Macaca mulatta: one gene and its partners. The protein of the gene in region 4 binds, or shares a complex with, the protein of the main gene of each other region. Links are inferred from orthologs where the notes say so. Each region holds a gene or a part of one and is shown on either strand. Other genes may lie near its edges.

Evidence for each region.
Region 1: the proteins of THOC5 (region 4) and THOC7 are in contact, whole or in part, in a cryo-EM structure (PDB 7APK), measured with the Homo sapiens proteins. The link is inferred for Macaca mulatta from reciprocal best matches to the Homo sapiens genes THOC5 and THOC7. Residues at the interface, in NP_001002877.1 of Homo sapiens: Pro48, Asp51, Tyr52, Tyr55, Cys59, Leu62, Gln63, Met66, Ala67, Gln70, Phe95, Lys99, Leu101, Asn102, Ala105, His106, Arg108, Leu109, Gly112, Arg113, Gln115, Thr116, Ala119, Lys120, Val123, Tyr126, His127, Leu130, Leu133, Glu136; in NP_079351.2 of Homo sapiens: Ala21, Asp23, Ile27, Leu30, Val31, Phe34, Tyr50, Met53, Leu54, Leu57, Cys60, Glu61, Met64, Gly65, Thr67, Leu68, Val70, Tyr71, Asn74, Met78, Tyr81, Ile84, Tyr85, Ile88, Glu89, Ser91, Ile92, Ala95, His96, Lys98.
Region 2: THOC5 (region 4) and DDX39B share a complex: the UniProt entries of both Homo sapiens proteins name them as parts of the transcription/export (TREX) complex. The link is inferred for Macaca mulatta from reciprocal best matches to the Homo sapiens genes THOC5 and DDX39B.
Region 3: THOC5 (region 4) and THOC3 share a complex: the UniProt entries of both Homo sapiens proteins name them as parts of the transcription/export (TREX) complex. The link is inferred for Macaca mulatta from reciprocal best matches to the Homo sapiens genes THOC5 and THOC3.
Region 5: the proteins of THOC5 (region 4) and THOC1 are in contact, whole or in part, in a cryo-EM structure (PDB 7APK), measured with the Homo sapiens proteins. The link is inferred for Macaca mulatta from reciprocal best matches to the Homo sapiens genes THOC5 and THOC1. Residues at the interface, in NP_001002877.1 of Homo sapiens: Tyr52, Arg113, Lys120, Asp124, His127, Leu128, Gln131, Asn132, Leu134, Tyr135, Glu136, Met138, His139, Thr145, Lys146, Glu149; in NP_005122.2 of Homo sapiens: Glu60, Arg145, Arg146, Leu147, Ser148, Ser150, Gln151, Lys285, Met286, Leu289, Val296, Tyr297, Phe298, Leu302, Ser304, Leu307, Leu310, Gln311, Ser313, Asp314.
Region 6: THOC5 (region 4) and THOC2 share a complex: the UniProt entries of both Homo sapiens proteins name them as parts of the transcription/export (TREX) complex. The link is inferred for Macaca mulatta from reciprocal best matches to the Homo sapiens genes THOC5 and THOC2.

The regions. Positions count from the first base shown.
Region 1 is NC_133407.1:127,391,068-127,395,620, reverse strand, and holds the end of THOC7 (THO complex subunit 7), read left to right. Parts: intron 1-914; coding exon 915-972; intron 973-1,877; coding exon 1,878-1,944; intron 1,945-2,046; coding exon 2,047-2,116; intron 2,117-3,064; coding exon 3,065-3,132; 3' UTR 3,133-3,397; downstream 3,398-4,553. UniProt on the Homo sapiens protein: Component of the THO subcomplex of the TREX complex which is thought to couple mRNA transcription, processing and nuclear export, and which specifically associates with spliced mRNA and not with unspliced pre-mRNA.
Region 2 is NC_133409.1:150,796,289-150,801,117, forward strand, and holds the end of DDX39B (spliceosome RNA helicase DDX39B), read left to right. Parts: intron 1-1,793; coding exon 1,794-1,925; intron 1,926-3,293; coding exon 3,294-3,403; intron 3,404-3,499; coding exon 3,500-3,644; intron 3,645-3,770; coding exon 3,771-3,918; intron 3,919-4,245; coding exon 4,246-4,262; downstream 4,263-4,829. Other genes in the region: MCCD1 (mitochondrial coiled-coil domain protein 1 precursor), read right to left, coding at 4,761-4,829. UniProt on the Homo sapiens protein: Involved in nuclear export of spliced and unspliced mRNA. Component of the TREX complex which is thought to couple mRNA transcription, processing and nuclear export, and specifically associates with spliced mRNA and not with unspliced pre-mRNA.
Region 3 is NC_133411.1:184,887,486-184,891,780, reverse strand, and holds the end of THOC3 (THO complex subunit 3), read left to right. Parts: intron 1-1,329; coding exon 1,330-1,491; intron 1,492-1,612; coding exon 1,613-1,713; intron 1,714-2,632; coding exon 2,633-2,796; 3' UTR 2,797-3,204; downstream 3,205-4,295. UniProt on the Homo sapiens protein: Component of the THO subcomplex of the TREX complex which is thought to couple mRNA transcription, processing and nuclear export, and which specifically associates with spliced mRNA and not with unspliced pre-mRNA.
Region 4 is NC_133415.1:22,013,429-22,018,257, reverse strand, and holds part of THOC5 (THO complex subunit 5), read right to left. Parts: intron 4,194-4,829; coding exon 4,080-4,193; intron 3,617-4,079; coding exon 3,519-3,616; intron 2,125-3,518; coding exon 1,978-2,124; intron 1-1,977. UniProt on the Homo sapiens protein: Component of the THO subcomplex of the TREX complex which is thought to couple mRNA transcription, processing and nuclear export, and which specifically associates with spliced mRNA and not with unspliced pre-mRNA.
Region 5 is NC_133423.1:71,546,101-71,550,929, forward strand, and holds the end of THOC1 (THO complex subunit 1), read right to left. Parts: intron 2,671-4,829; coding exon 2,523-2,670; intron 1,543-2,522; coding exon 1,467-1,542; intron 958-1,466; coding exon 662-957; 3' UTR 650-661; downstream 1-649. UniProt on the Homo sapiens protein: Component of the THO subcomplex of the TREX complex which is thought to couple mRNA transcription, processing and nuclear export, and which specifically associates with spliced mRNA and not with unspliced pre-mRNA.
Region 6 is NC_133426.1:130,143,830-130,149,269, reverse strand, and holds the start of THOC2 (THO complex subunit 2), read left to right. Parts: upstream 1-2,132; 5' UTR 2,133-2,137; coding exon 2,138-2,208; intron 2,209-5,440. UniProt on the Homo sapiens protein: Component of the THO subcomplex of the TREX complex which is thought to couple mRNA transcription, processing and nuclear export, and which specifically associates with spliced mRNA and not with unspliced pre-mRNA.

The DNA of each region.
Region 1 (4,553 bases), on a different chromosome or scaffold from region 4:
TGGCTTAGGTTCTTTTCTCTGTTTTTGTTTTGTTTTGTTTTACATAGGGCATGTATTATTTTGTAATTCAAAAAATTTGTGTTAAAAGAATCATACTTTTATTGAATTAATATGCTCAGTTCTAAAACAATGAATGTTCACTTTTTAATGAACTAATTAAGATGAAGCTTAATTTCCTCTTTTTACAAGTTGTTTTTTTCAGTTTAAAATGTGTATGGTGAAGTTTTGGTGCCCTATTTACAGTAAGATATACCAACTTAGTATCAGTTCAAAAGTCATTTAAAAATATTTGGAGTGTTTTCGTTGGTTAATGAGGTTTTTAAGTAAATCCTGCCACTCATCACTCATCACTTCATAAGAAAGGTTAACAGAAGTTACATGACTTATCTTGGAGGTCTCAGTGGAGCAGAAAGTAGAACCTGAATTTTAAGTTATTTGCACGTTTCTGAAATCTTAACTTTTGGAATGAGTGAGAAGTGTAATTTGCTGTTGACTAACAACTCAAACTAATGGTAGGATATATTTACTGATTTTATTTTATTTTATTTTATTTTTTAGACAACTAGTGAGTAAGATCCTTCTCAGAATCAGTCTATTTGATAATCAATAATAACTTAAATTTGCTTATGCTTATGCTGACCTCTTATATTCTGTCCACGACATATAAATGGAAAAAAAGTGGGAGCTAAAACCCCTGTTTGGAACACTTTTGATGTTGTGTATCATTATAATTATAACTCAGTCAACTAAAACTGGCAATACTCATCTTTCAATGATTTCATTTCTTGATATACTAGGGAAGTGATTAGAAGAGGTTTGTGATATTATACATTTTTGTTGATATTATACATTTTTGTTTTGATAATTCATATTCAAAAAACCCTTAGTTTGATAAATATTTTTATGTCTTTCAGAATATGATGCTTTGGCAAAAGTGATTCAACACCATCCAGACAGGCATGAGACATTAAAGTAAGTGTAGAGTTTTACTTTGAAAGGAACTAACCTTTATACATAAATGCTCATAAACTACCCTAGGCATTTCATTTTTTGCAGAATAAATATGTTTCAAAAGGAGGGGTCAGATCTTCAATATTATATTTTCCCATACTTCTCTGTTAAATTTTATTTCCCTCTGACCTTACCACTTATATGTCTGAAATAAATGCATGTAATATTCATTAATAGCACAATGGACAAATAGAATATGGTCTTCATATATTAAAATACTGAATTTCAGTTAAAAACAATAAACTAGTTATGCCCTTTTAAAACACAGCTCTCAAAACATAGTGAAAAGACACATAATAAATTTTAAATTATTACTACATTCCTGAAACAAAGAATAATAACCATTTATAAAAGTTAGAACCCCCTTTCAAATATTATATACCAATACTGTATATTATTCAGAGATACAAGTATATGCATAAAAAAGAATTAGAATGATATAGTAGTTGCCTGAGTGGGAGGTAGAGGAGATAAAACAGCCCAGGATAGAGGTCTAGAGGTAAGATTCAAAGGATATTTCAGGTTAATTGGCAATGTTTTATTTCTTTTACCAAAAAAAAAAAACCCTTGAAGTTAAGCTTCACAATATGTATCATTTCTTGGGTCTTGTTATTTTATTATCTGTGTTTTTCTGTACTTTAAAAATGTATCCAAAAATGTAATTTTAATGAAAGTAAATCCATATTTAGAAGTTAAGAAGAAATCATCCCCAGCTTCAGAAGTTTCACCATAGTGGAGTGTTATAACTCCTTATAAGTCTTTTTTTTTTTTAATTTTAAAAATCCTATCTAGTAACTAAAAAGTTAGGTATTAATTGTAATCTCTTTTCCCCCATTCAGCAAAATGTAACACTGTTTTATTTCCAGGGAACTAGAGGCTCTGGGAAAAGAATTAGAGCATCTTTCACACATTAAAGAAAGTGTTGAAGATAAGGTATTTGCACATATATTTAGCCTTTGTGATCTGTCTATCTGTCTGTCTATATATCTATATATATAGGTCATCATTTGTATAAATTTTTTCTTGTTAACACAGCTGGAATTGAGACGGAAACAGTTTCACGTTCTTCTTAGTACCATCCATGAACTTCAGCAAACATTGGAAAGTAAGTAGAAATAGTCTCAAAATAAATGTTTATGAAGATTTTTTAAATGACCCAGGAATGTATCTTTTGAAATATGTATCTTGGAGAGAGAGTATACCTTCTATTTCTGAACAATATAGCTGGATGACGTTAGAAGGTACTCAAGTTCAACTTTCTTGAATATATGTAGAAAAGTCATAATTTGTGGTAATATAGGATTTAAAGATATACATAGTGGTTTAAATTAAGAAAAATTCAAGGATGATAGATTTGGAATCTTTCTTGGTTCACTGTAGTTGATTACTATAATGTAATAACTCAGGACCCAGGCAGGCAATAATAAGGAATCAGTACATAAGAACATTTGCATACCCACTGAGTGGTGGGTACTTTGGAGAACTGGAGACTTGCTCTTTATATTCACTGTAGACAGTTAGAAATTTTTGTATTACCTGATCTTTTGATTGTTTTAAAGAATAGCCTAAGACCCAGATTTTTTTTTTTTTTTTTTTGAGACAGCCTTCCTGTCACCCAGGCTGGAGTGCAGTGACACAATCTTGGCTTACTGCAATCCCCACCTTGCAGGCTCAAGTGATTCTCATGCCTTAGCCTCCCAAGTAGCTGGAATTACAGGTGCATGCAACCACGCCCAGCTAATTTTAGTATTCTTAGTAGAGATGGGGTTTTACCATGTAGGGTAGGCTGGTCTTGAATTCCTGACCTCTAATGATCCACCTGCCTCGGCCTCCCAAAGTGCTGGGATTACAGGTGTGAGCCACCAGACCCTGCCCAGATTTTTTTTTTTTTAAAGTGAAATCTATCACATAAATTTGAAAGTTTGATTCAACTAGTAGCCATCTTTGCTTTAATTGTATTGGCTAATACAGGATAAACATGTTTTCATGTGTTCATTGAATATAAAACATAGGCAAACTTGATTAAGGTTTTATGTTTCCTTCTCAATTACAGATGATGAAAAACTCTCAGAGGTAGAAGACGCTCAGGAAGCAAGCATGGAAACAGATCCTAAGCCATAGACAAGCTAATCGCCCACCACTCCCAGGAATATTGAAATAGCTACGTGACCATAATGTGTTTAAAATGTGGTGTGCTCTTGAGATATTTAAAGTTTTGGCAGTAAAATACTCTGTTTTTAAATATGAATGTGTATTTCATTCATATTTCCTCACACAAAGGAAAATGACTTCAGTATAGATTTGTTTTTATTAAAATGCATTTTTTTATTCTTAAGTGGTAGGAAGCAACATCCAAAAATGCTTAATAAAATGCTTTTAAGCTGGATATGTTTGTGCTCATTAATATTCCAGGTAGTTTTTAACTGGTAACATTGATTGGCTTACAAAATAAGTTGAAAATTGTTAGAAGTTGGCATTTCTAGGATGTACTGGGAAAATGGGCCAATTTCTGGAAATGGTTACACTTCTGAAAATGGAGTCTATGAAGAGGCTTTAGGAGGGCCATGAATCTGTGAAATTACATGCAAAATGTTTGTGGTGTATGCTTATTGTATAGAGAGGTTCCAGGCTGTTAAAAGTCACTGGTATGAGAGGTAATTATAAGATGCAAAGTAAAATAATGCGCATTACTTTCTATATCTCGCCTTAATATGTGAGGAATATAATTCTCAAATGTTTTGTTGATATCTTTTCTCTACTGTTTTGTTCTTTAGGAATCATTTTCAGTAGAAAAAAATGTACTGATAAAGTGAAGAGTTGTTTGAAGTAAATAGTTTGTTAAGATTGTCTTGCATAGGCCAGGCGCGGTGGCTCACGTCTGTAATCCCAGCACTTTGGGAGGCCAACGCAGGCAGATCACCTGAGGTCAGGAGTTCGAGACCAGCCTGACCAACACGAAGAAACCCTGTCTCTACTAAAAAAAATACAAAATTAGCCGTGTATGGTGGCACCTGCCTATAATCCCAGCTACTCAGGAGGCTGAGGAAGGAGAATCATTTGAACCCAGGAGGCAAAGGTTGCGGTAAACCAAGATTGCGCCATTGCACTCCAGCCTGGGCAATAAGAGTGAAACTCCATCTAAAAAAAAAAAAAGATTGTCTTGCATAAAGAATTTATTATCTTTTTAAAAATTAAGCTAAGGCTGAATCACTTGTGATTTTCTTAAGTATTTCATTATACGTGTAATACTTGTTCGGCTCCATCCTTATCCATTTATTTTAGTTAAGAAACATGACACTTTGCATGAATCATACCTTAATAATGTTATATTTTTGTAATTTTAATAATAATTTTTATCTTAAAAATGAAAGTTTAAAATTAGCGCAGTTGTAGTCATATTAAAAGTGTCATAATACCTATAAATACTTCCTCTAATTTCATCTGGCAAGTCATGGGAGAAATTTCTTTGCAGAATTGCTATGCTGTGACAAATGTTTCTATTTTCCATTATTAGTAAAAATTATGAAACAACAATTTGCCTA
Region 2 (4,829 bases), on a different chromosome or scaffold from region 4:
CACCCAGCGGTGGATGGCGGCAGCGGAGGCCGCGGGGAAACCTGACCAGGAAGCTGAGGACCAAACCAGCCTCTTTTTCCGTTCCCGGTTTTTTTCCTGAACCCAACGCGTGCCGTGCCCCGTTTCCCCCCATATGTGTTGGGGAGGGGTGTCCTCAATGGGGTGGTAGATTTTTTTTTTTTTTCCTTAAAAAATTTTTTTGTTTTTTTTAATACTCAGAGGAGAGGGACATAGGAAAGGTAAAGTGGATGTAATCGGGTGGGTGTTAGGGTTTGGGGCTAGGTGGGGCCAATTGCATAAGCAGTGGAGTGTGTTCTCCCTGCAGTGTTCCTTCCCGTGGGATGATAACTCTTTAGCTTTATTTGGGGCTAGAATGAGATTTGAAGAAGGCCATGGAACTTCTCTTTAGAAAGCCTGCCTTGGCTGGGCCTGGTGGCTCACCTCTAATCCCAGTGCTTTGGGAGGCCAAGATGGGAGGATTGCTTGAGCCCAAGAATTTGAGACTAGCCTGGGCAGTGTAGTAAGACTTTGTCTCTACCAGAAAAACCAGGCGTGGTGGCGCATGCCTGTAGTCCCAGCTACTTGGGAGGCTAAGGCAGGAGGGTTTGCTTGAGCTTGGGACACGGAGGCGGCAGTAAGCTGTAATTGTGCCACTGTACTCCAGCCTGGGTGATAGAGTAAGACCCTGTATCAAAACCTGCCTTTTGGGATTGGGCTTCTGTTTTTTCCCATGACATACCCATCCTTTCCTATTTTGTCCTCTGGGTCTTAATATTAACTATCTTCCCCCAGAGAAGTACAAAAGTGTTAGGAAAGTTGTATTTTGGAGTTGTGGTAATTTCTGTCTTTGTTACTCTCCTCCCCTTCAGGGGGTTTTTAAATTTTAAAGATGAATGCAGTGAGGTATAATGGTGTGTGCCTGTAGTCCCAGCTATTCGGGAGACTGAAGCAGGAGGATCACTTGAGCCCAGGAATTTGAGGCTATAATGTGCTATGATTGTGCCAGTGAATAGCCACTGCACTCCAGCCTGGGCAACATGGTGAGATCCTGTCCCTTAAAAGCATATCTGCCTGCTCTGAATTTGGTTTTTTAATACCACTTACTGATACCTTCCCTGTAAACCTGTAGATGGTTTAATTCTTAGTGAAGAGACCAGTCTCATCTAAAATTATCCTGTTGTGGTCTGACGGCAAGTTACTTATCTTGAGTAATTTTTGTTTCTCCTTAAGTGGCATTTTGACTGTCCATTGCAGTGTTCTGATCTTAAAATTGACATCCACTTTCCTAATGTATATGAGATTCTCTTAGTTGAAGTAGGAGAATCAAATGGAGCAGTTGTCCTGCCCCCACCCCATGTTCTTACAAGCAGCTGTGATGGAGTTATTCTGACCTTGAGTCACTGCCTCCCATCATTTCCCAGACGTTTGGGCCTTGCTCTCCCTTTGAGAATCATCTTCCACATTTTTTCTTTCTTCTCCCACCTCTATTTGAGGTAGTGGCATCTGTGCCATTGGGTGGTTTCACTGCTCCTTTACTTCATTTGCAGTTTCTTTCCCATGATAGTTTTTAGTTGGGCAGTCTTAAAACCCCTCTGATAGGAAGGAAATTAGATGTAATGTGAGAGAGACCACAGTAAAATATGGGTAGTTTTGGGAGTGGGGTGGGGTTTTCAATCTTCTCTTTCCTCCCCATCCCCCCATGGGGTGTATTGGAGATCAGCTTCCTCCACCCCCCCAGGTTTAACCCCCCCACTCTGCCCTCCTCCCGTTCCCCACCCCTTCCTCCCCCCCAGCCAATGGAGATCTTCGTGGATGATGAGACGAAGTTGACGCTGCATGGGTTGCAGCAGTACTACGTGAAACTGAAGGACAACGAGAAGAACCGGAAGCTCTTTGACCTTCTGGATGTCCTTGAGTTCAACCAGGTCAGTTACACGTCCAGTAGGGGGATGAGCATTGGAGCACTCCAGCTGTAGCAGAAACCTGGATATTAAGTACACTTTTATTGAGGAAATCACATGTGTGATGTGGGAGAGAATTATGAGGGTGTAAACATTAGGGGCTGAGCATGAGTAAGGTGGAAGCTGCTTTTCTATTCTGTGGTTGGCATGGATATGTATGTCCTCAATAACCTCAAGGAAAATAAACTTCAAAAGTTAAGATCCTTGGCCAGGTACGGTGGCTTATGTGTGTACTCCCAGCACTTTGGGAGACTGAGGCAGGTGGATCACTTGAGTCTAGGACTTTGAGACCAGTCTGGGCAACATGGCGAAACTTCACTACCAAAGAAGAAAAAGTTAGCCAGGTGTGGTGGTGTATGCCTGTAGTCCCAGATACTCTGGTGGCTGAGGTGGGAGGATAGCTTGAGCCCAGGAGATTGAGGCTGCAGTGAACTATGATTGCACTACTGTGCTCCAGCTTGGGCAGTGGAGTGAGACCTTGTCTCCAAAAGTCCTTGAAAGGTTTTAGGAAGTTGTTAAAGGCTTGAAATGATTTTGGGGGGCAAGTTAGGGTTCTTACATGTTTAATTCCTCTAATAACTGCTTATTCAAGAGAAGCATTTGTGACTGGGTGCAGGGCAGTGGCTCATGCCCATAAATCCCAGTACTTTGGGAGGCTGAGGCAGGAACATCGCTTGAGCCCAGAACTTCAAGACCAGCATGGGTAACAGAGAGAGGCCCATCTCTACAAATAGTAAAAAAAAAAAGAAAGGAGTTGGGTGTGGTGGTGTGCACCTGTGGTCCCAGCTACTTGGGATGCTGAGGTGGAAGGATCTCTTGAGCCCAGGAGGTGTAGGCTGCAGTGACCCACGATTGCACCACTGCACTCCAGTCTGGGGGACAGTGACCCCATGTCAAAAAAGTGTTTCATTAATATACTTGTGAGTGGCCTATTTGCACTTAAAACTACTTTATAGAATTAGGATAGCTCCCTTAGGTTTAATGTTTTGGTGAGCAGGAATATCAGTTACCCCCCCAGATCTTAATTCTAGTTTTTTATCACTTTTTCATGAGGTGATCTCATCCTTGTCTCCTACCATGTCTGGCAGTTTTGGTTTCTGAACTTTGTGCTACCTCAGAGGCCAGCCTCCCTAGGGAAAAATCAGTGCTAAAATAAAGTTATATTTCCTCTTCTGCTCTAAATATATAATGGGGGAATAAGAGAGATGAAGAGGAATTCCTGAGAACGTAATTACTAGAAACTCCTCTCTCCCATGTAATGTCTCACACACACTATGGACTCCTATTCCCCCAATTCGCGACCCCCCCACCTCCCACCCCACCCCACAACAGGTGGTGATCTTTGTGAAGTCTGTGCAGCGGTGCATTGCCTTGGCCCAGCTACTGGTGGAGCAGAACTTTCCAGCCATTGCCATCCACCGTGGGATGCCCCAGGAGGAGAGGTGAGTTGAAGATGGGAAAGATATTTTGTGTCTTTGGGAGAAAGACAGTTGAGAGAAGGGCATCTCAACATTTTTAAAATTTCCTTTCTCACAAAGGCTTTCTCGGTATCAGCAGTTTAAAGATTTTCAACGACGAATTCTTGTGGCTACCAACCTATTTGGCCGAGGCATGGACATCGAGCGGGTGAACATTGCTTTTAATTATGACATGCCTGAGGATTCTGACACCTACCTACATCGGGTAAACCCCACAGGCTGAAGAAATCCCACTCTCCCATTCCCTTCTTTTCTATTTGTACATCTTCATCCCTGCCTCTGGATCTCTTTCCTCTTTGATCTTCCAGTGCTACCCTCTGTCTCCTTCCAGGTGGCCAGAGCAGGCCGGTTTGGCACCAAGGGCTTGGCTATCACATTTGTGTCCGATGAGAATGATGCCAAGATCCTCAATGATGTGCAGGATCGCTTTGAGGTCAATATTAGTGAGCTGCCTGATGAGATAGACATCTCCTCCTACAGTGAGTACTGATCTCATGAAACCCTTTAGGTCCTCCCTGTTCCTTAGTGTGTTTGTCCTAAATCCCATCACTTAGATCATTGGCACCTGATGCATAATGGACACTTGGCTGGTTCATGCCCCCTGATCTTTGATGCTGTGTTGGGATGCTTTCCTGACCTTTATGTGGGGTCTCTGTCTTCTCTCATCGTATTACATCCCTTCCCTCACCCCCACATCTGTTCTCTGAACCCACATAGTACACCAGCATCTGCATGTGCGCTGTGTGTTCCTGCCTTGCTTTCCCCTTTTCATGCCTTATTCTGACCATGCTATGTTTTCTCCTTAGTTGAACAGACACGGTAGAAGACTCGCCCATTCTGGAATGTGACCGTCTGTCCTTCAGGAGAGGACACCAGGGTGGGGGTGAAGGAGACACTACTGCCCCCACCCCTGACAGCCCCCACCCCATGGCTTCCATCTTTTGCATCACCACCACTCCTGAACCCCCATTTCTGATTTGTCAGAATTTTTTTTAACAAAACTAAAAATGAAACACATGTGTCTGTGGTATCTATAAGTGCTTCGTCCCTTTATTGTATTTGGGGTGAGGTATTTTAGGGCATGGTCCAGCGTAAATTCCTGTAAGGCCTGGGTGCCCTGCCTGCTGTGAGATTAAAGGGGAATGGGACTAAGACTGCAGAGCCCTGGCTCCCCCACTACCTGCCAATTGCCCGCGATTTGTGGGGGTCTCTTCCACTTTCTCTGGTCTGGGAGCGGCTGGGGTGTCTCTGATCCCAAGGCCGCTGGTGGGTGGCACATGGATTTTCAGTGCCAGAGGGTGCTGTGGGCACTAGGGGAAGCTTAGGCGCCTCCTCCCAGGCTCTCTCGGTGCCTCCTCATCTGTTCCTTCAGCTTCTGGATCTTGAGCAC
Region 3 (4,295 bases), on a different chromosome or scaffold from region 4:
GGCACTTTGGGAGGCCGAGGTGAGTGGATCACTTGAGGCCTGGCAATCATGGAGAAACCCCGTCTCTACTCAAAATACAAAAATTAGCTGGGCGTGGTGATGCAGGTCTGTAATCCCAGCTACTTGGAAGGCTGAGGCAGGAGAATCGCTTGAACCTGGGAGGTGGAGGTTGTAGTAAGCTTAGATTGTGCCACTGCACTCCAGCATCCTGGGTGACTGAGTGAGATTCCACCTCAAAAAAAAAAAAAAAGGAGGCCTTACATTCTTTCACTGAGAAATCATACTGAAGTTAGGAATGTTCATTACCGTTGGGTTGGCCTAGGAATTACGTGTGTGTGTGTGTGTATGTATATAAAGATAAAATACCTTGTGAACTCACATTGATAACTTCCAATTAAAATTGAGGACTCCGGGGATTTTATTAAACCTCATCTATATTACAAATATATTTCTTCCCTTCCAAATTGAGTATTCTGGTTCTCAAGGGCACAAGGGATCATAGAATTAGAATATCCGATGGTTACTTATTACCTGTATCCCGTGGTAAACATACAGATGTCTCTGAATAACAATATTACTGCCACTACCACCAATGTGATGACTTGAAACAAAAAATGTTTTTGCTTTTTGCATACACTCTTTGCATTCTTCCCCCATTAAAAAAAATAGTACTATATGTTGTAGGAGTGTGCAGCTGTTACATATTATACCCTCCCTTTAAACCATGTATAGTTTTTGCAAGAAACTCTATATTCAGTGTTCAGCACCAGTCCTTATAAGTCTTGAGTCATTTTTTTTATTGAAGCTCATTCTCTAGTTAAGATTCCTCGGGAAGCGTTCATGGGAACATTATTCCTGGAGTTTTTATTACAACTTATTTATGTACTTATAAAGCTTATAGATTTAATAAAACATTATTGTGCTTATTGTTTGTATCGTTATATTTCAAATTCAGTTTTGCTGGATGTAAAAATCCTTGACTCATTTTCTTGCTTGTGTATCTTTCTTAAATATGGTACTCCATTTTCTTTTGGCAGTAAGTGTTGCTGTCAGAAAGCCTGATAATCTAATTTTCTTTTTCTTTAAAGTCCACTAATTTTACTAGTCTGTGTCTCGATGTTGGTTGCTTTGGTTCTGTAGTCTCATGTATGTGTTGTGCTTTTTAAATAATGTAGTTCAAAATCTTTTTTTATTTCAGGAATATTATCTTGAATGACAGTTCTTGGTGGTGGTGCATTATCTTTGCTTTTCTTCTTCATTGTCTCCTATTATTATTTTAGCACCACAGTCCTCTTCTGCAGTTTGATCACTGTCTGTCTTGTTTCTCAGCTACCCAGAACTGAAGCCTGTGCAGTCCATCAACGCCCATCCTTCCAACTGCATCTGTATCAAGTTTGACCCGATGGGGAAGTACTTTGCCACAGGAAGTGCAGATGCTTTGGTTAGCCTCTGGGATGTGGATGAGTTAGTGTGTGTTCGGTGCTTTTCCAGGTAAGTAACTCTATCAGCACTTTCCTTGTTGGGTACATGAATTTTATTTTATTGTGAGTGACATTGTTCCCTCCTCTTATTTGGTAATTCTCATGTCTCTTCTGTCCACTCTGTATCATAGGCTGGATTGGCCTGTAAGGACCCTCAGTTTCAGCCATGATGGGAAAATGCTGGCGTCAGCATCGGAAGACCATTTTATTGACATTGCTGAAGTGGAGACAGGTAACCTCATGAGAATCTACTGTCTTTCACCTTTGGCATTCAGGACTTCTCTTGTGATCTCATCTCTGCACGTGACTGCTTCATCAGCATTATCATGAATGAATTTGTCTCCTTTAGACAAGTGTGTTTATGTTTTGACTGTCACTGCTGGGTAGTGAGGAAGCAAAGAGTTAAGAAATAAACAGGCAGGTCTGAGGAAACTGATTTAGAAAAATATTTTGATTTATTTAAACTTTAAACTACAGAGTAAGAGGAAGAAAAAAGCATCACTTGTGGTCCCACTATCTGAATACCACCTTTTTAAAAATGCTGTGGTATATTTCTCTTTATCTGTTGCCTGTATATGAACTTGAAAAAATATTTTTTTAAATTTAAGGAATTATCAAGTTTTTGCTTTAAAAACAACAACAGAAGCTGGAAATAGAAAAATGGGAGGAGAGTATTCATTTTACAAAAGAATTTCCTCAGATTTGTTTTTTAATGTTGCTGTATTGTTTTCGGAAATCTGTGACACTCTTCGTAAAAAGGTTAAAACTACATAGAAAACTTTGAAGAGGAAAGTAAAGAACTTGAAATTCCAGTATGTAAAGAATGTCTGTGTTAGTCACGTTGTGGTGAACATTGTCCAGCATCCAGCCATGCAGATCCTTCATGTAATTGCGTGTCCCTGTGACTCGGTGACACTTTTCCTGCTCAGCGACCTGCTCTTGAGTTAACCCACCTGTGCTCAGAGCCTGCTCTGCCCCCTGCTGGCTTGTGGGCTCTCTGTGCCTGGGGGTTCTCTGTAAAATGAGGTAGTAGTTGTATCTATCTTATGGGATTAGTAGGTGAATTAAACGAGTTAATACAGGTAAGTACTTAATGAATGTGTCCTTCGTTATGAACGTATTGATTGGTTTCTCTCTATTGTTTTCTATAGGGGACAAACTATGGGAGGTACAGTGTGAGTCTCCGACCTTCACAGTGGCGTGGCACCCCAAAAGGCCTCTGCTGGCATTTGCCTGTGATGACAAAGACGGCAAATATGACAGCAGCCGGGAAGCCGGAACTGTGAAGCTGTTTGGGCTTCCTAATGATTCTTGAGAGGGGATTGTAGGTAGAGGAGGCCCTGGCAGAGGTCTTCCTTCATGTGGTTAGTTTGGTCTGTTCTCTTGGAGTTGGTGGGCACCCTAAATATTTGTAAATTGGTATAAATTGTAAATGTCTATGGTCAGGCTGCCCATTCCAGTTCTTTTGCTTTTTCTGTGTATTAGCTCTTTCCATTCTTTGCCCCCAGCGTGAGTTAACTCGTGTGGACTCTGCAGTGTAGGTAGTGACCCCAGCATACCTTGTCCTCTGGATCTCCTGTCTTCTCTGCTTTTGGGTACATGGTAGACTTTGTGGCGTTTGATACAACTTGGACAATACTTAGTTTGGAGGGAGGGGAATGGAAAGGTATGGAAAATTTTTTAAATAATTAAAAATATATATATATAATTTTGAGAATTGAGCATTTAATAAACTGACTTTTTTTATTATGGCACTTCTAAGACTTTAAAAATTATGTCCTTATGTTGCAGTTTTGTATTTTTTTTTTTAATTTGAGAAAGATAATTTAAATGTTATAATTCTGTCATTTAAATTCCCAACCAATAACCCTCTGAAATATAGGGACAAAGCTAATTGAATGACTGAACTAAAATTTTGGCTCTGAGCTTCCTGGTGGCAAAGTAAAGAGGGGAGTAAGTCAGTTAGCTTTCTTATTGAAAAGAAAAACACTTAGTGGTTCCTCATGGAGAGCAAAGCTTTATTAGTTCTTCCCTTTAAAAAAAAGGGCTTGTGTTGGGGAGGTTGTTACCTAAGAGCAGTAGTTTTTCATTATATTGTAATTTTTTTTGGTGTTAAAGCAAATACTGAGGCATACAGAAATACGTTGGTAGAATATTTTGGAAAAAGGTAAGCAAAAAGAAAAATTACATTCCTAGCACCAAGAGGTAACTACTATTAGAATTTTGATGTATATCCTTCCAGAAGTTTTCTTGTGTCCATGTTTATGTATAAAAACATGTTTATCTTCATACACGAAGGGTAGACAAACCAAGTATGGCAAGATAAGTTAGGCAAGGGGCACAGCACCGTGTTGGGGAGTATTATAAACACTCAACAAGTCTTGACAGATATTTGTAGTTACTGGGCATTCTCTACATGCCTGCTACCATAAAGAACACTTTTGTCAGCTGTTACTCAGTGTTTGCAGCAGCCTTCTGAGGTGGGTGTTATCACCATTTTACTACCTCAGGGAGTTTAAGTAACTCAGTGTTACTCATCAACTGACTGTATTCAGATCTGGGTTTGTTTAAAGGCCCACGTGCCTTTGTTTGCAATGGGCTACTCTGTTTCTGCAAGTGTTGCCATTCCCACTTCACAGATGAGTAAACCATGGCCATGAGAAGTCAGCTGTTGGGCCATCTCAGTGAGTGATGCGTTGAGCAGGTGCAGTAGTGTGCACAGTAGTGTTTGCAGTAGCGTGCTCACCTTCCCTGGTGAAGGGTCTTTTTAGTTGCAAACCAACTTGCCACCTCAGCGGCAGAAGTGGAATGTTG
Region 4 (4,829 bases):
AACACTTTGGGAGGCTGGCGGGCGAAACATGAGGTCAAGAGATAGAGACCATCTTGGCCAACATGGTGAAACCCCGCTTTTACTAAAAATACAAAAATTAGCTGGGCATGGTGGAACATGCCTGTACTCCCAGCTACTCGGGAGGCTGAGAGGCAGGAGAATTGGTTGAACCAGGGAGGCGGAGGTTGCAGTGAGCCGAGATCATGCCATTGCATTCCAGCCTGGGCGACGAGAGTGAAACTCCATGTCAAAAAAATAAATAAATAAAACTCTTTATTAGTATAGAAAAGTTTATACCTAAAGTGTGACTTGAAGTATTATTTATGACAGCAAAAAAAAATGGCAACAACCTAAAATCCAACAGGGGAATAATTTTGTGAATTTTTCTATACACTAGGATATACACTAGAATGTTGCACAACCTCCTGAAAAAATGTTTACAAAGCTTTATGCCACAGGCATACATTTATAGATAAGGGGGGGAAAGGCAAAATACAAAATTAGATTTATGGTACAAAAGATAAGGTCTTCGGCATTAAAATTTTTTTTTTTTTTTTTTTTTGAGACGGAGTCTCGCTGTGTCGCCCAGGCTGGAGTGCAGTGGCCGGATCTCAGCTCACTGCAAGCTCCGCCTCCCGGGTTTGCGCCATTCTCCTGCCTCAGCCTCCCGAGTAGCTGGGACTACAGGCGCCCGCCACCTCGCCCGGCTAGTTTTTTTATATTTTTAGTAGAGACGGGGTTTCACCATGTTAGCCAGGATGGTCTCGATCTGCTGACCTTGTGATCCGCCCGTCTCGGCCTCCCAAAGTGCTGGGATTACAGGCTTGAGCCACCGCGCCCGGCGGCATTAAAATTTGAAAGAGAGACCAGGCATGGTAACTCACACCTATAATCCCAGCACTTGGGGAGGCCAAGGTGGGAGAATCACTTGAAGCCAGGAGTTCAAGACCAGCTTGGGTAACAGAGTGAGACCCCTGCTCTACAAAAATAAAAATATTAGCCAGGCATGGTGGCAGGCACCCATAGTCCTGGCTACTTGGGAGGCTGAGGCAGAAGGATCACTTGAGCCCAGGATGTCAAGGCTGAAATGAGTCGTTGTCATGCCCCAGTGCTCCATCCTGAGCAATAGAGTGAAATGCCATCTCTTTAAAAAAAAAAAAAAACGGGGGGCCCGGCTCAGTGGCTCACACCTGTAATCCCAGCACTTTGGGAGGCCAAGACAGGCAGATCAGTTGAGATCAGGAGTTCGAGATCAGCCTAGCCAACATGGTAAAATCCCGTCTCTACAAAAAATACAAATAATAGATGGGCATGGTGGTATGCACCTACCACCCAGCTCCTTGGGAGGCTGAGGACTGACAATCACTTAAAGCCGGGAGGTGGAAGTTGCAGTGAACTGAGGTCACGCCACTGCACTCCAGCCTGGGAGACAGAGTGAGACTCCATCTCAAAAAAAAAAAAAGCTCTTAAGCAATTATAACCCCAATCCCATCCATGATGAGGTTGGTGAAGTTTAAACTATCCAGTGTGAATTAATCATAAAATGGATTTGGTCTTAGAAACTATTCTGAGAGTTCCATAGTGCTTTGCTGCGTTATCCTGGGTCATGACAAAGCACTGACACTTTATGGTTAAAAGGTCAGGAAGGGGCCAGGCGCGGTGGCTCAAGCCTGTAAACCCAGCACTTTGGGAGGCCGAGACGGGCGGATCACGAGGTCAGGAGATCGAGACCATCCTGGCTAACACGGTGAAACCCCGTCTCTACCAAAAAATATAAAAAAAAAAAACTAGCCAGGCGAGGTGGCGGGCGCCTGGAGTCCCAGCTACTCGGGAGGCTGAGGCAGGAGAATGGCGTAAACTCGGGAGGCGGAGCTTGCAGTGAGCTGAGATCCGGCCACTGCACTCCAGCCCGGGCGACAGAGCGAGACTCCGTCTCAAAAAAGAAAAAAAAAAAGGTCAGGAAGGAGGAAATGTTACCTTTTCCGCTGCTCCAGCTCCCAGTCTAGACGTGCCAGTGTTTGCTGGTGAGGGTCTCCCATGGTGACTTCGGCCTTGCTGATATCTGGTGGAGCCTCCTTATAAAACTCCTCTAAACTGACCAGATCAATTTCTTCGTGCTTCGACCTACAGACAAAAACATGACATTGTGCTGCCGTTCTCAGGAAACAAAATTGTAGTTTAAGTAAAATTGTAGTTTAAGTTCCACTATATTCTGGGTTTGTCAGTTTCCATTTGCATGATGATTACAGACCAGTGCATCACATTATTTTGTTTTTGATACCTTTTTAATTTTGAAATAGTTTAAGACTGCAAGAAGGTTCAAAAATAATACTGAGAATTTATTTCCTCCATGTACCCTTCACCCAAGTTCCCCCAATGATACTAACTTATCTAACCACATTATACATTGTCAAAACCAGGAACTGACAATGGTACAATATTGTTAACTCAAGTACAGACCTGATGCAGATTTCACCTTTATTCGTATTTAACTTTTACTAGGTAATGATTTTGTGGAACAGATAAAGATGTCTCTCAAAAATCAGCATCAGGGATGGGCACGGTGGCTCACGCCTGTAATCCCAGCACTTTGGGAGGCCGAGACGGGTGGATCACGAGGTCAGGAGATCAAGACCATCCTGGCTAACACGGTGAAACCCCGTCTCTACTAAAAAATACAAAAAACTAGCCGGGCGAGGTGGCGGGCGCCTGTAGTCCCAGCTACTCGGGAGGCTGAGGCAGGAGAATGGCGTAAACTCGGGCGGCGGAGCTTGCAGTGAGCTGAGATCCAGCCACTGCACTCCAGCTTGGGCGACAGAGCAAGACTCCGTCTCAAAAAAAAAAGAAAAAAAAAAAAAAGAAAGGAAAACTGGGCCAAAAGGTTAAAAGGATGTGACTGGAAGTGAGTTGCTCCCATACAATGTACCCAGGAATCAAACTGGTAATGTAAAGACCCCCGATAGGGAGAGAGAAACCTGCTTTTTACCAAGTGCAGAGCTCAAAACTCAAAAAGGTCAAAGAGACTTTTGAGATTCTTTATGCGCCTGAAACTATGGCTTGCAATTCTCCCACATTCACCCTTGCAATTTGCCCTTCTCCCAGATCCTAGTTTCCTAAGCTCATCAGACTTCTTTTTAAAGAGAGACTTACAGGTGTGGTGGCTCACGCCTGTAATCCCAGCACTTTGGGAGGCCAAGGCAGGAGGATCACCTGAGGTCAGGAGTTCAAGACCAGCCTGGCAAACATGGCAAAACCCCGTCTCTACTAAAAATACAAAAATTAGCCAGGTGTAGTGGTGGGTGCCTGTAGTGGGAGGCTGAGGCAGGAGAATCGCTTGAACCCAGGAGGTGGAGGTTGCAGTGAGCTGAGATTCTGCCACTGCACTCCAGAGTGGGTGACAGAGCAAGACTCCATCTCAAAAACAAACAAACAAAAGAAACAGACTTACAGCGAGCTACACGGGAAAAAGCAATTACCGAGAGACCACATGTGCCAAAGCCCTGTCCTCCCAAACTCACTTAAACTCCAAACATTTGGTGATCTCCTTCTGTAGGTGCATCACCTCATACAACAGGTTCTGGAGCTGCAAGTGATAGGCATCTACTTTCTGCTTAGCCTGAAAGGAGGATAAGATCAGAGGTGAGCAGGGCAAGTAAGGATGGGGCAGAGGAGAGGGTCAGCAAACTAAGAGAAGGTGTAAAGGGAATAAAGAAGGGGATGGGGCTGGGTGCAGTGGATCACGTCTGTAATCCCAGCACTTTGGGAGGCTGAGGCGGGTGGATCACCTGAGCTCAGGAGTTCAAGACAAGCCTGGCCAACAAGGTGAAACCCCATCTCTACTAAAAACTACAAAAAGTAGCCGGGCATGGTGGTGGTGGCAGGCACCTGTAATCCCAGCTACTTCGGAGGCTGAGGCAGGAGAACTGCTTGAAGCTGGGAGGCAGAGGATGCGGTGAGCCAAGATCGAGATTGTGCCACTGCACTCTAGCCTGGGGGACAGAACGAGACTGTCTCCAAAAAAAAAAGAAGGGGATGAGGAGGAGAAAGGAGGAAGGTTAATTAAACCTTTTAACTCCTACCTCGTGGGTCTGATCTCTTCCTTTCTTCAACCTGATGTGGGCTAATCGGTTAAGCTTCTTTAGAGTCATGAAATGCACACAGCTCTGAATCCTCCGTTCTTCAATTTCGATTGCCTGTGAGCAAAGAAAACAGTAAAGCCCACTGAGACAGGCGCTTGCTCAGCTTCCTTCCGTCCCTCACCACCGACCCATCCTCATCTGGGGCCAAACATAGGCACTGGAGGGAGCCCAGAACCATGAGAAAAGTCATGAAGAAAATAAGAGGGATGGAAGGCCGGGCGCGGTGGCTCAAGCCTGTAATCCCAGCACTTTGGGAGGCCGAGGCGGGTGGATCACAAGGTCAGGAGATCGAGACCACAGTGAAACCCCGTCTCTACTAAAAATACAAAAAATTAGCCGGGCGCAGTGGCGGGCGCCTGTAGTCCCAGCTACTCAGGAGGCTGAGGCAGGAGAATGGCGTGAACCCAGGAGGCGGAGCTTGCAGTGAGCCGAGATCGCGCCACTGCACTCCAGCCTGGGCAACAGCGTGAGACTCCGTCTCAAAAAAAAAAAGAAAAAAAAAAAAAAAAAAAAAGAGGGATGGTTATATAAGGAAAACGCTTAAGAATCTCAGGCAAAAAAAAAGCAATTTCTGCTTGGACTAGAGTAACAGGAATTGAAGTTGGAATAAAGGCAGCGAAGGCACAATCTGTCTCTACAGATCCTACGCAGAGATCCCGGCAATAGTAACATCTTGCCATAAAATTTGAC
Region 5 (4,829 bases), on a different chromosome or scaffold from region 4:
TAGAAGGAAAAGTGAGGTTTCAGACTTCATTTCTTTTAAAGTTGGCAAACATTTTCTGTAATGGACAAGATAGATAGTAAATTATTTCAGGCTTTGCAGGCTATGAAGTGTTGCAGCTCCTTACCTTTGCTGTTATAGTGTAGCTGGAGCCATAGACAGTTACGAGTGAGCACAGCTGGGTGCCAGTACAATTTTAACGATCAAGACTCGTGGCAGGCAGAACAAACCATCATTTGTTGATCCTCTGCTTGAAAGCACGAATAAGAACAGAGCAGTCATATGGTTTCAGAAAGTGTTATTCTGGGATTCCAGGATAGCTAAATTTTGTAACTACTAACAGCACACAGGAAACTAATTTGGTATAGGAAACAACATATCCCTAAATAATGCTTATTTAACTTCATTATAAATACATCTACTTAACAAAAATAGATTTTGTGAGGGTCACTTCGTTTAGGTCATTATCTCAACCCACCCTCCTCCCAACCTCCCCAAACTCTGGTTTGAGCCAATATGTGTTCTATTGTTCTTAGAGCACCAGCCGACTGTACAACAATTGTTATAAAAATGTTTATTGTTTACCAAAACCAGTGGACCTCTTATCAAATGCTGCTTGGTAACAAAATCTATCACAGTTTTAATAAAAAGAAAAAAAAAGAAGCTAACTATTTGTCTCATTGTCATTAGTTAGACTTTCTGCAAGGTCACTTAATCCAGACTTATTCAGTGCATTAATCAGATTCTCAGGTGTTGCATGAACTCCCTCTTGATCTTGCCAGGCAACCAGGAGCTGCTTAGCTCTCATCTTCATGTCTTCACTGTCACACTCAATCTGCCTAATTTCTGAGTCTTTCATTTCCAAGTAGGGAGCCAGAATCTTCCATTGTTCACCCAGCTTGTTGGCAAATACCTCTATTTGTTCTCCTGTTACAGGTTTGTCTCGCCGAACATCAGGACCTAGAAAACGGAGAGAATATAAATTATGTGCAATTCTAAGTATACAACAGAAATGGAAAGCTATGGGGCCAATGAGTTTTATTAACCACCTTTAGTAGACTTTATTTTAAAAGCAAACAATTATTTTTTATATCCTCCATAAGCTGAATACCACTCTTAATAAGCATGGTCAACAATCAAAGCTAAAGCTGTTACCTCTGTTAAAATTATGTAGGCTTTCCCTGAAATGAACTGCTCCCCTTCCAGTAACCAATAATTAACAAAGGTATGGGTCACCTTCAAATGTATTTTCCTTCCCTTTTAAAGTATCATTACTCCCCAATTTTATTGCATAAAATGTAGTATTTTTAAAGTTATTATTAAGCAATGTTTTACATTCCTCACTGTAAGTCAGAAACAGTTGAGATAAAATGGGAGAAGTTGCGAAGCCGATTAAATAATGTACCTATCAACAAAGAACCCCAATCTTCTTCAATTTTGTTAAATAACCAAGAAAATTAAATTCTTACTTTCATTTTCCTTCAGTAAAGCATCATTATCTTCCTCATCTTCATCCTCACCTGTTTTTATTTCTTCAGAAGGAGGCTAAAAATGAGAAAGAAGAATGTTTGAAAGAATGCCAGCCTCTGAAGTACGGTAACAAGTACTTTGTTTAGATAAAGATGATTGTGAGATTCCAAGTACAGGGTGCCAGAACCTCACCCCTGAGAGCGTTAGACAGTGTCAGGTAAGGATCCTAAGTGGGACTGTCTTCACATGCAGAAGGAGTGAACTTGGTAAGACCCCAGAGTTGGAAAGACTCCCCACCCCCAATCTGGGAAGCAGGAAGGCCGTGAAAAGCACAGTTCCAGGATTTGCAAATACCCAGGGTTTAGTAAAGATGGCCTCAAGGAAGCCAGTAGCAACAGTGTCCTTAAAAGTTTCTGATTCTTATCTTTTACCTTTGATAAAAGACAATATACTGCATTGGCAAACAGGAAAAAATTCCTGTCTGTGTGTATAGGTGCATAACAGTTTACCTAAAGTACCATGAATTTTATATACTTTTTTGAGATGGAGTCTTGCTCTGTCGCCAGGCTGGAGGGCAGTGGCACAATCTTGGCTCACTGCAACCTCTGCCTCCTGGGTTCAAGCAATTCCCTTGCCTCAGCCTCTTCAGCAGCTGGGACTACAGGCACCTGCCACCACGCCTGGCTAATTTTTTATATTTTAGTAGAGATGGGGTTTCACCATGTTGGCCAGGATGGTCTCAATCTCCTGACCTCATGATCTGCCTGCCTAGGCCTCCCAAAGTGCCGGGATTACAGGCGTGAGCCACCGCGCCCAGCCCTGTTGAACCTTAGTTAAATTACATGCTGTACAGAAAATTATCAGTTACTTCTTTATCAACTCATGTATTTCCTGTAAATGTATATTCCAGTGTGTTTTTCCCTCATTCTAAAACATGGGAGCTTGTGGACCACTGGTTTTTCACATGATTAAGTCAGTTTTTTGCTCACATAGTGATAGCAGTTTTAAAGATGATGTCAACTAAAGGGCATGAAAAGTTGATCTATGGTACTTACCGGTAATTCCTTGGCTAGCTTTATTACCATGTTTTCAAGATATTCTGGTAAACTTTTAAACTGCTGGTTGGTTGGCTGGAAGAAGTGAGGGCTTCTCCGTGCTAATAGTCTCAGGGCTCTCCAACCATAATTTGAATTGTTCACAGCCCTATAAAAAGAGATGTCAGGCTTGTAATTCATAGTTTTGTATTTCTGTATTCCCTTCTGCTTAGTTCTGCCACGTGCAATTCTATATTTAAGGTAAATAGCTCAAAGTACCATTCTTTTGATTGGAATCTTATTCCTCAAGAACTTTTCGGGATGTTGTCCACTGATAATAACAAATCAACAGATACACACATAACTAATAACAGGAACCAACAATGTCTGAAGAGGCAGGCTCATATGAGCAAACACATTTTCAAAGTTCATACATTTTGTTTAATTTTAACAAGTCAACAAGTGTGTGCAGTACTGGCTAGATGCAGTATGTGTACAACAGGAATCATCCATCTGGCTATTCGGAATCCATGAACTGTTCCCTAATGAAGTATAACAATGATCAAGGTGGTATACAATCAGGTGAGAAACAGAAACTGCAGAGAAATTCTAAAGATAATGCTCCAGAAATACGCAATGCTGCAGAAGAAACCAAACCACCAATTTATTCCATTTAAGAGTTTTGGATTGGAAGTCTCTCCCTCCCCTAAGAATAGCAATTTGGTTTATTTGGTCATCTCTTATAAATGAGCGTGTGTTACCTTTAGGATGTGCAGGTACCACTGAAGACTTAACAAAAACTACCCCTAGACATTGAGGACTCTTCCCAAGTCAACACCTGCTGTGAGGCTTTGCCCGAACAGTTAAGAGCCTTCCTCTCTGACATATCTCTGTTTAAACGATTTGATTATTTTAGGCATGTTCAAAATTCACTGTCAATTATATATATCATTTTTCTTATTCTCCACAAAACCCTCTTTGGAGATAATAATTTGAACTATCACTTTAGGAATGAGTCCATCTAGTCTTACGTAACAGTGATAAATATTCTTTCAATTGACAAACACTTGAGCCAGGCACTCAGTAGCTGTGGAGAGTACCTGAGGCACAGTAATGCAGAATGTGTTGGCAGGCATCGCTAGTGATAAACACACAAGGTATAAGATAATTTCATAAGGATGAGGAAAACGAGAAATGAGAAGGTGGTGAGTGCCACCTTCTCATTTGGATAGTGGTAAGTGCCATGAAATAAAAACCACGAGAATGCAACAGAGGAGACCAGGGAGGGGAAGAGCTTCCAGGGGGACTTAAAGCCATGGGAACCTTGGGGGAAAAGTGGTTCAAGCAAGTGAGACAGTCAAGTGTGAAGGTCCTGACGGGAAAGGGAAAGACGTTTGAAGTGAAGAGCACCAGGCCTGCTGTGGTTAGAGCAGAGGGAAGGCATAGCTACACAGGACAGTATAAGCCAGACCAAGGAGGTTTTTAGACCCTGGGAGGGACTTTGGAACAGGCACTCACTGGAAGATTTTAAGCAGATCAGACTTGGACAGTTATTTTAAAGATCACTGGCTGATACATGGAGCACTGACCACTGCTAGAGAAAACAGTGAAGAGGTCACAGAGGTCACAGTAATTAACAACTCTGGGCACAGGGTCACACTAGTAACGAATATTGAGTGCTAACGACATGCCCTGTATGGTTGAAAGTGAACTGTCTTATTTAATCCTCAGAATAACCCTGTGAAATGGGTACTGTTACTATTTAACAGATGAGGAAAGGGAGGATGGCGATTCAATTATTAAATTAGCCTTAGTCTAATAAGTAAGTGGTAGAGGGGACTGGAACCTATGCATTCTGACAAGAGGCCTCTTGCCTTTAAACCACTACTCTTCGATTCCTATTGAAAGCCATGAGACTGTGGTGTCACCCAGAAGGTTCTAGATAAAGAGGCTAAGACTGAGTCCTGATGTTACTCCAACATTTGAGTTAGGCAGAGGATGAGGAGGCTGAAATGGAATGTGAGGTGGAGTGGGCAGCGAGGGCAAAGGGCAAACAGAAGAACCATGGATTTGGATTCTCATGGACACCAAGAGAAGAAAACATTATCTAAGGGGAACAGGATAGGTTAAGAGCTGCTGTGAGATACTGTGCTTTGAAGGGTAGAGAGAAAAGAACTAATAGTTGGAGAGAAATGGGGGCCAGGGGGAGTTTTTTTTTTTTTTTCTTATATTTTGAAACAAGGGTGATTCCAAGTCACGCTTAGTTAACAGGAATACTCCTTGAAATCAGGATGTGTCCTAACAGGAACTCCCCTAAGAGAAAAAGCA
Region 6 (5,440 bases), on a different chromosome or scaffold from region 4:
TGTCACCCAGGCTGGAGTGCAGTGGCATGCTCACAGCTCACGGCAGCCTCAACCTCCCCAGCTCAAGCAACACTTTTACATCAGCTTCCTTAGTAGTTGGGACTACAGGCGTGCACCACCAAGCTGAAATAATTTTTGTATTTTTTGTAGAGATGGGGTTTCACTCTGTTGCTCAGACTGGTCTTCAACTCTTGAGCTCAAGCAATCCACCTGGCTCAGCCTCCCAACGTGGTAGGATTACAGGGGTGAGCCACCACACCCGGTTCCAGAGGTGTTAACTCTAAATACGTCAGTGGGTGTTTTCCCATCACCATGGCACACGTTTATCTACATAACAAACCTGCACGTCCTGTACATGTAGCACATGTATCCCAGAACTTTAAATTAAATTTAAAACAATAAATAAGAAAGAAATTGCCACAACAGCAGCCATCCACATTGAGACAAGACCCTTGACCAGCAAAAAGGTTATAACTCTCTGAGGGCTAAGATGACTGTTAGCATTTATTAACAATAAAGTATTTTAAAATTACAAAAAAAAAAAAAAAAGAAAAACACGATGTTGTAGTATGTCAAAAAATTGCATAAACTTAATTTAATCGTGAAGGAATATCAGACAAACAAATACTGAGGTACAATCTACAAAATTACTGGCTTGCACTCTTCGAAAATGTCAAGGTTGTGGAAGACAGACTGAGGAATTCTTCCAGATTAATGGAGATGTGATAACTGATACGCAGTCAGAAAAATTTTTTTTTGTTGTTGCTATAACAAGCATTATGGAGGTGGGGTGGGAGCACATGTTGTCAGGACTTCCTGAGACTGTGTCATGAAAAAAAAAAAAAAGTATTATTGGGGTGAGCAGGGTGGCTCACGCCTGTAATGCTAGCATTTTGGGAGGCTGAGGTGGGCAGATCACTTGAGGCCAGGAGTTCCAGACCAGCCTGGACAATGTGGTGAAAAACTGTTTCTAGAAAAATACAAAAAATTTAGCAGAGCCTGGAGGTGTGCATCTGTAGTCACGGCAACTCAAGAGGCTAAGGTGGGAGGGTAGCTTGACCCCAGGCAGGTAGAGGCTGCAGTGAGCCATGATTGTGCCATTGCACTCCAGCCTGGGCGATAGAGTGAGACCCTGTCTCAAAAAAGAAAAGAAAAGAAAAGAAAAGAAAAAAAGATCAAATTTGAAATATCTGTAGATTAAGGAATAATACAGTGTTTTTTTTTTTTTTTTTTTTTTTTTTAAGATGAAGTCTCACTTTATTGCCCAGGCTGGAGTGCAGTGGCTCCATCATGGCTCACTGCAGCCTCCGCCTCCCGAATTTAAGCGATTTTCCTGCCTCAGCCTCCCGAGTAGCTGGGATTACAGGAGCGTGCCACCACGCCCGGCTAATTTTTGTATTTTTAGTAGAGGCGGGGTTTCACCATGTTGGCCAGGCTGGTCTCAAATTCCTGACCTCAGGTGGTCCACCTGCCTCGGCCTCCCAAAGTGTTGGGATTACAGGCGTGAGCCACCGTGCGCGGCCCATTTTGTTTTTCATGGTACTTAGTCCCTAGTTTAGCCTAAGGTAACAATGATAGCAGGCCAACGCAGCGTGTCAGAACTCGTGGATCCATGTTTCCCACGGTTAGGTCGTATCCCTCGCATTAGCGTAATGCTTGGCACACAGACAATGGCTACCACCTTCCCGATTATTTCCTTTTATCTCAGCAGTCAGCAGGGCGTAATGTAATTTATCTGCTTATATTTATGTCTTTCCCAAAGACTGTATTATTTCTCTATCCCCAGTGTCTAGCACATATTAGGTGCTTGAAAAATGCGTGTTTGTATTAGTGGTTGGGGTAGATACTATGGAAGAAGATAAGGTCTACTTGTTGGCCCGTGGATGGCATTTTTCTGTTCTAATGGAAAGGCTGAGGACTTCGGACGGCGCAGCCCGCGGAGTAACTTCGCAAAGGAGCCCGCGAGTCTCCACGTCGTTGGCTGCCGAGCCTCGGGTTTCCGCTGGGTGGGGAGGAAAGTGGGGCGGGAAATCGAAAAACGAACTCTCAGCTCCCGGCATTCCTCGTGGGCGGTGCTCCCCTTTGACCCTTCGCTCGCGTGCTACACATCCGGGCCTCTGCTACTAGTGAGAGGAAGATGGCGGCCGCGGCTGTGGTGGTTCCTGCAGAGTGGATAAAGAACTGGGAGAAATCAGGGAGAGGCGAATTGTGAGTGTTCGGGCCGGAGGCAGGCGCACTGCCGGGCCGGGCCAGGGCGTCAGCTGCACTCTCACCTGTGGTGGGAGGTTGGGGGGGGAAGATGTACCCCCTCCCCCACCCGGGCGGCGGGCGTGGATGGTCGGCTAGGAGTTTCGAACTCGGGGAGAGGTGCTGTTAACCGCCGCGGACCTCTTTCCTTCCCTGGCCTCCCAGAAATCGCTACTGCCTGCGGTAGCTCGGCTTTCTTTAGCCTCTTAGTAGAACTCCTGTTCCGCCCCTGCAGGTCTCTGCGCTCCCTCTTGGTCTCTTTTTGTGTCCCCCTTTTCGCTTGATCTCACTGGGCTCCTTTATCTTTATGGGGCTGCGCTGGGGCGATTCGGACTTTCCATCTCTCTCTGTCCCATTTCTTCACTCTGCACCCGTTGGACTCCGCAGTTTGGAGCTTGGCGCCTCCTCTGCCTGAAGTCCGAGGAGGGCGAACCGTCCCGGATTCCCTCCCCTCCTCTTCGCCCGCTGCCGCGAAGCCCGGGGCGCCGCGAAGAACCCGGTTTGGCACCTCTCGTCCTCCCGGGGAGCGGTCTCTTGACTGTCCCGGCCTCGCGTAGCGCCGTGGGGAAGTGTGGCAGGGATTGCCGCTTTCCCTGAAGAACTACAGACATTTCTTTGCTCCGTCTGTTCACCTTAGAGCTATTTAGGGTTGGATTTAACTTTCGTCATTAAATGTTCCCTAAACCCCATTTTATCCTGGGACTGCAACTAATTCTGGCAACTCTCCAAGCTTCTCGAGTACCTAGGATAACGCGTTTCCTTTAGTCGTGAAACTTTTCCCCCGTAACGCCGAAAACAGTAATTTGCCATACCCCTAGTCTTCTCGCCCCCACATTAGAGCGCTCCCTCCTCCCCTCTCCCTGAAAAAAGTCGTTTAAGCAGCAAAGCAAACCTCAGATTTAAGAAAACATATTAATAACAGCTTCTCATTTCCTTCTCTGGATCGCTTTTAGATGCTAACGCTCAACCCTGGATCAAATTAACTCTTGTTAGCCATTTTTGTCGTCCTTGCCCACCCCTCTCCATTTCTAGTAGCCAGTTTACCGTGGCTCATGCTAACGATTCAGATCTTTGTAACTTCATTACTTGGAACGAAACACGAGGAACGCGTTGCCGGATCCCGCGCTTGTAATAGTGCCAGCCTATGTGGCTTCCTCCCCCGCACCCCCCGCACTGCTGTATGAAGTCTTAACAGTGCGAGCGCTAGAATTCCCTAAATAAGCGGCTGTCTTAGCCACTTAACTAGCCGAGTGACCTTGGGTAAGTTCCTTAACCACTTGGACTGTTTCCCCTTGAGTAAATTGGGAATAATAAGTACTCTACTCAAAGGATTGTTGTGAAGACTAAATAATGCCTGTAAAGCACTTGGCTTATAGTAAGTGCTCAAGTGATAGCTATTAAAAGTAATATTATTCCAACCTTTAGATATTTAAACTTCTCAGGACAGCTCATGCACTTAAAGTCTGTACCACTCTGGTTAGCAATTAATTGGTCTCTGACTCCTTCATGTGTTTTTACTCTTGCACTGTAATGAATTGAGAGGCCCTTGAAAGATAGGGACTATGTCTCATATTTCTTTCGGTTCCACGCACGCCCACCCCCCCCCCCCCCAGCATATGCTTAGAGTGCTTATTGGTTTATTAATTGTCAGAGAAGACTATTTGATAAACCTTCGTTTTTAACTGTAATGAACATTTTACAAATCCTCGTACATGCTAGTTAACAAATAGCTATCAAGTTTGTTAGCTAGTTGACAAATAGCCATCACGTTTGATAGCTAGTTGACAAATAGCCATCAAGTTTGGGGAAGGCAAGATGGGAAGTTACCCAGCCAGACCATCATCTTCATCCATATTAGGGTAATCCACCAAAACTCGTAAAGCAATTCACTGTTTTGTTTACTTTTAAAGCCAGCTCATTTATTTAGGGGCTGTTATCTTTGTAGATGGCTCAGCTTCCTCCTTTCAGCTACTGTTTTTTGACAGTTTTGCTTTTCTTTTTTCCCCTTGAGACGGAGTCTCGCTCTGTCGCCCAGGCTGGCGTGCAGTGGCGCGATCTCGGCTCACTAACCGCTGCCTCCCGCGTTCAAGCGATTCTCCTGTCTCAGCCTCCCTGTCTCACCCTCCCGAGTAGCTGGGACTACAGGCACGTGCTACCACGCCCGGCTAAGTTTTTGTATTTTTAGTAGAGACGGAGTTTCACCGTGTTAGCCAGGATGGTCTCCATCTCCTGATCTCGTGATCCGCCCGCCTCGGCCTCCCAACAGTTTTACTGTTATTGCTCCCACCTTAGAATGAGTGGTATTAGGGCTACAAGGTGAAATTCTGCTTGGCTTCTGACTGGTAATGGTTGGAGAAAAAGTGATGTAGGAGGTCGAAATACCTAGAAAAAATGGAATTTTAGGTTCACATTATGTGTATTTATATAATACATGCTACCTGTCATAGTTCTTATATTTGAAGAGCTGCTTCAAAACTGTTATTAGAAGCCGGGTGAGGTGGCTCACGCCTGTAATACCAGCACATTGGGAGGCCGAGGTGGGTGGATCACCTGAGGTCAGGAGTTCGAGACCAGCCTGACCAACATGGAGAAACCCCGTCTCAACTAAAAGTACAAAATTAGCCAGGCGTGGTGGCACATGCCTGTAATCCCAGCTACTCGGGAGGCTGAGGCAGGAGAATCGATTGAACCCGGGAGGCGGAAGTGGCGGTGAGTTGAGATCGCAGCTGTCGCACTCCAGCCTGGGCAACAAGGGGAGCGAAACTCTTTTTCAAAAACAAACAAAACAAAAATAACAACAAAAAAACTGTTATTAGAACTTACATGTATGTAGTTATTGCATGACTTGTGGAATGTGGATTGAATTATAGTAGATCCAAATCAGTATAGTCAGTTTTATGATTGCATTCTGTTACAGGAAGAGAGTTTAAAATTGTGTAACATAATAAGCTATTTTAAATAGTTAAACACATCACCATTCAGTACTTAGTTTCAGTTTATTTGACCTGTTTTCCCTCTATGAAAACTTTGTTGCATATAGCATGTCTTTGGAGTTTTTGTATCTTCTTAAAGATAGGTGTTAGCATTTTCATATTACTAGGCAGAATACGTGGTGGTGCAAATATATTACAAAAAACATTTTTCCTTTGTCTGAAAACAGCCTCTGAAATATAAAAGAGCAACGGGAAAATTT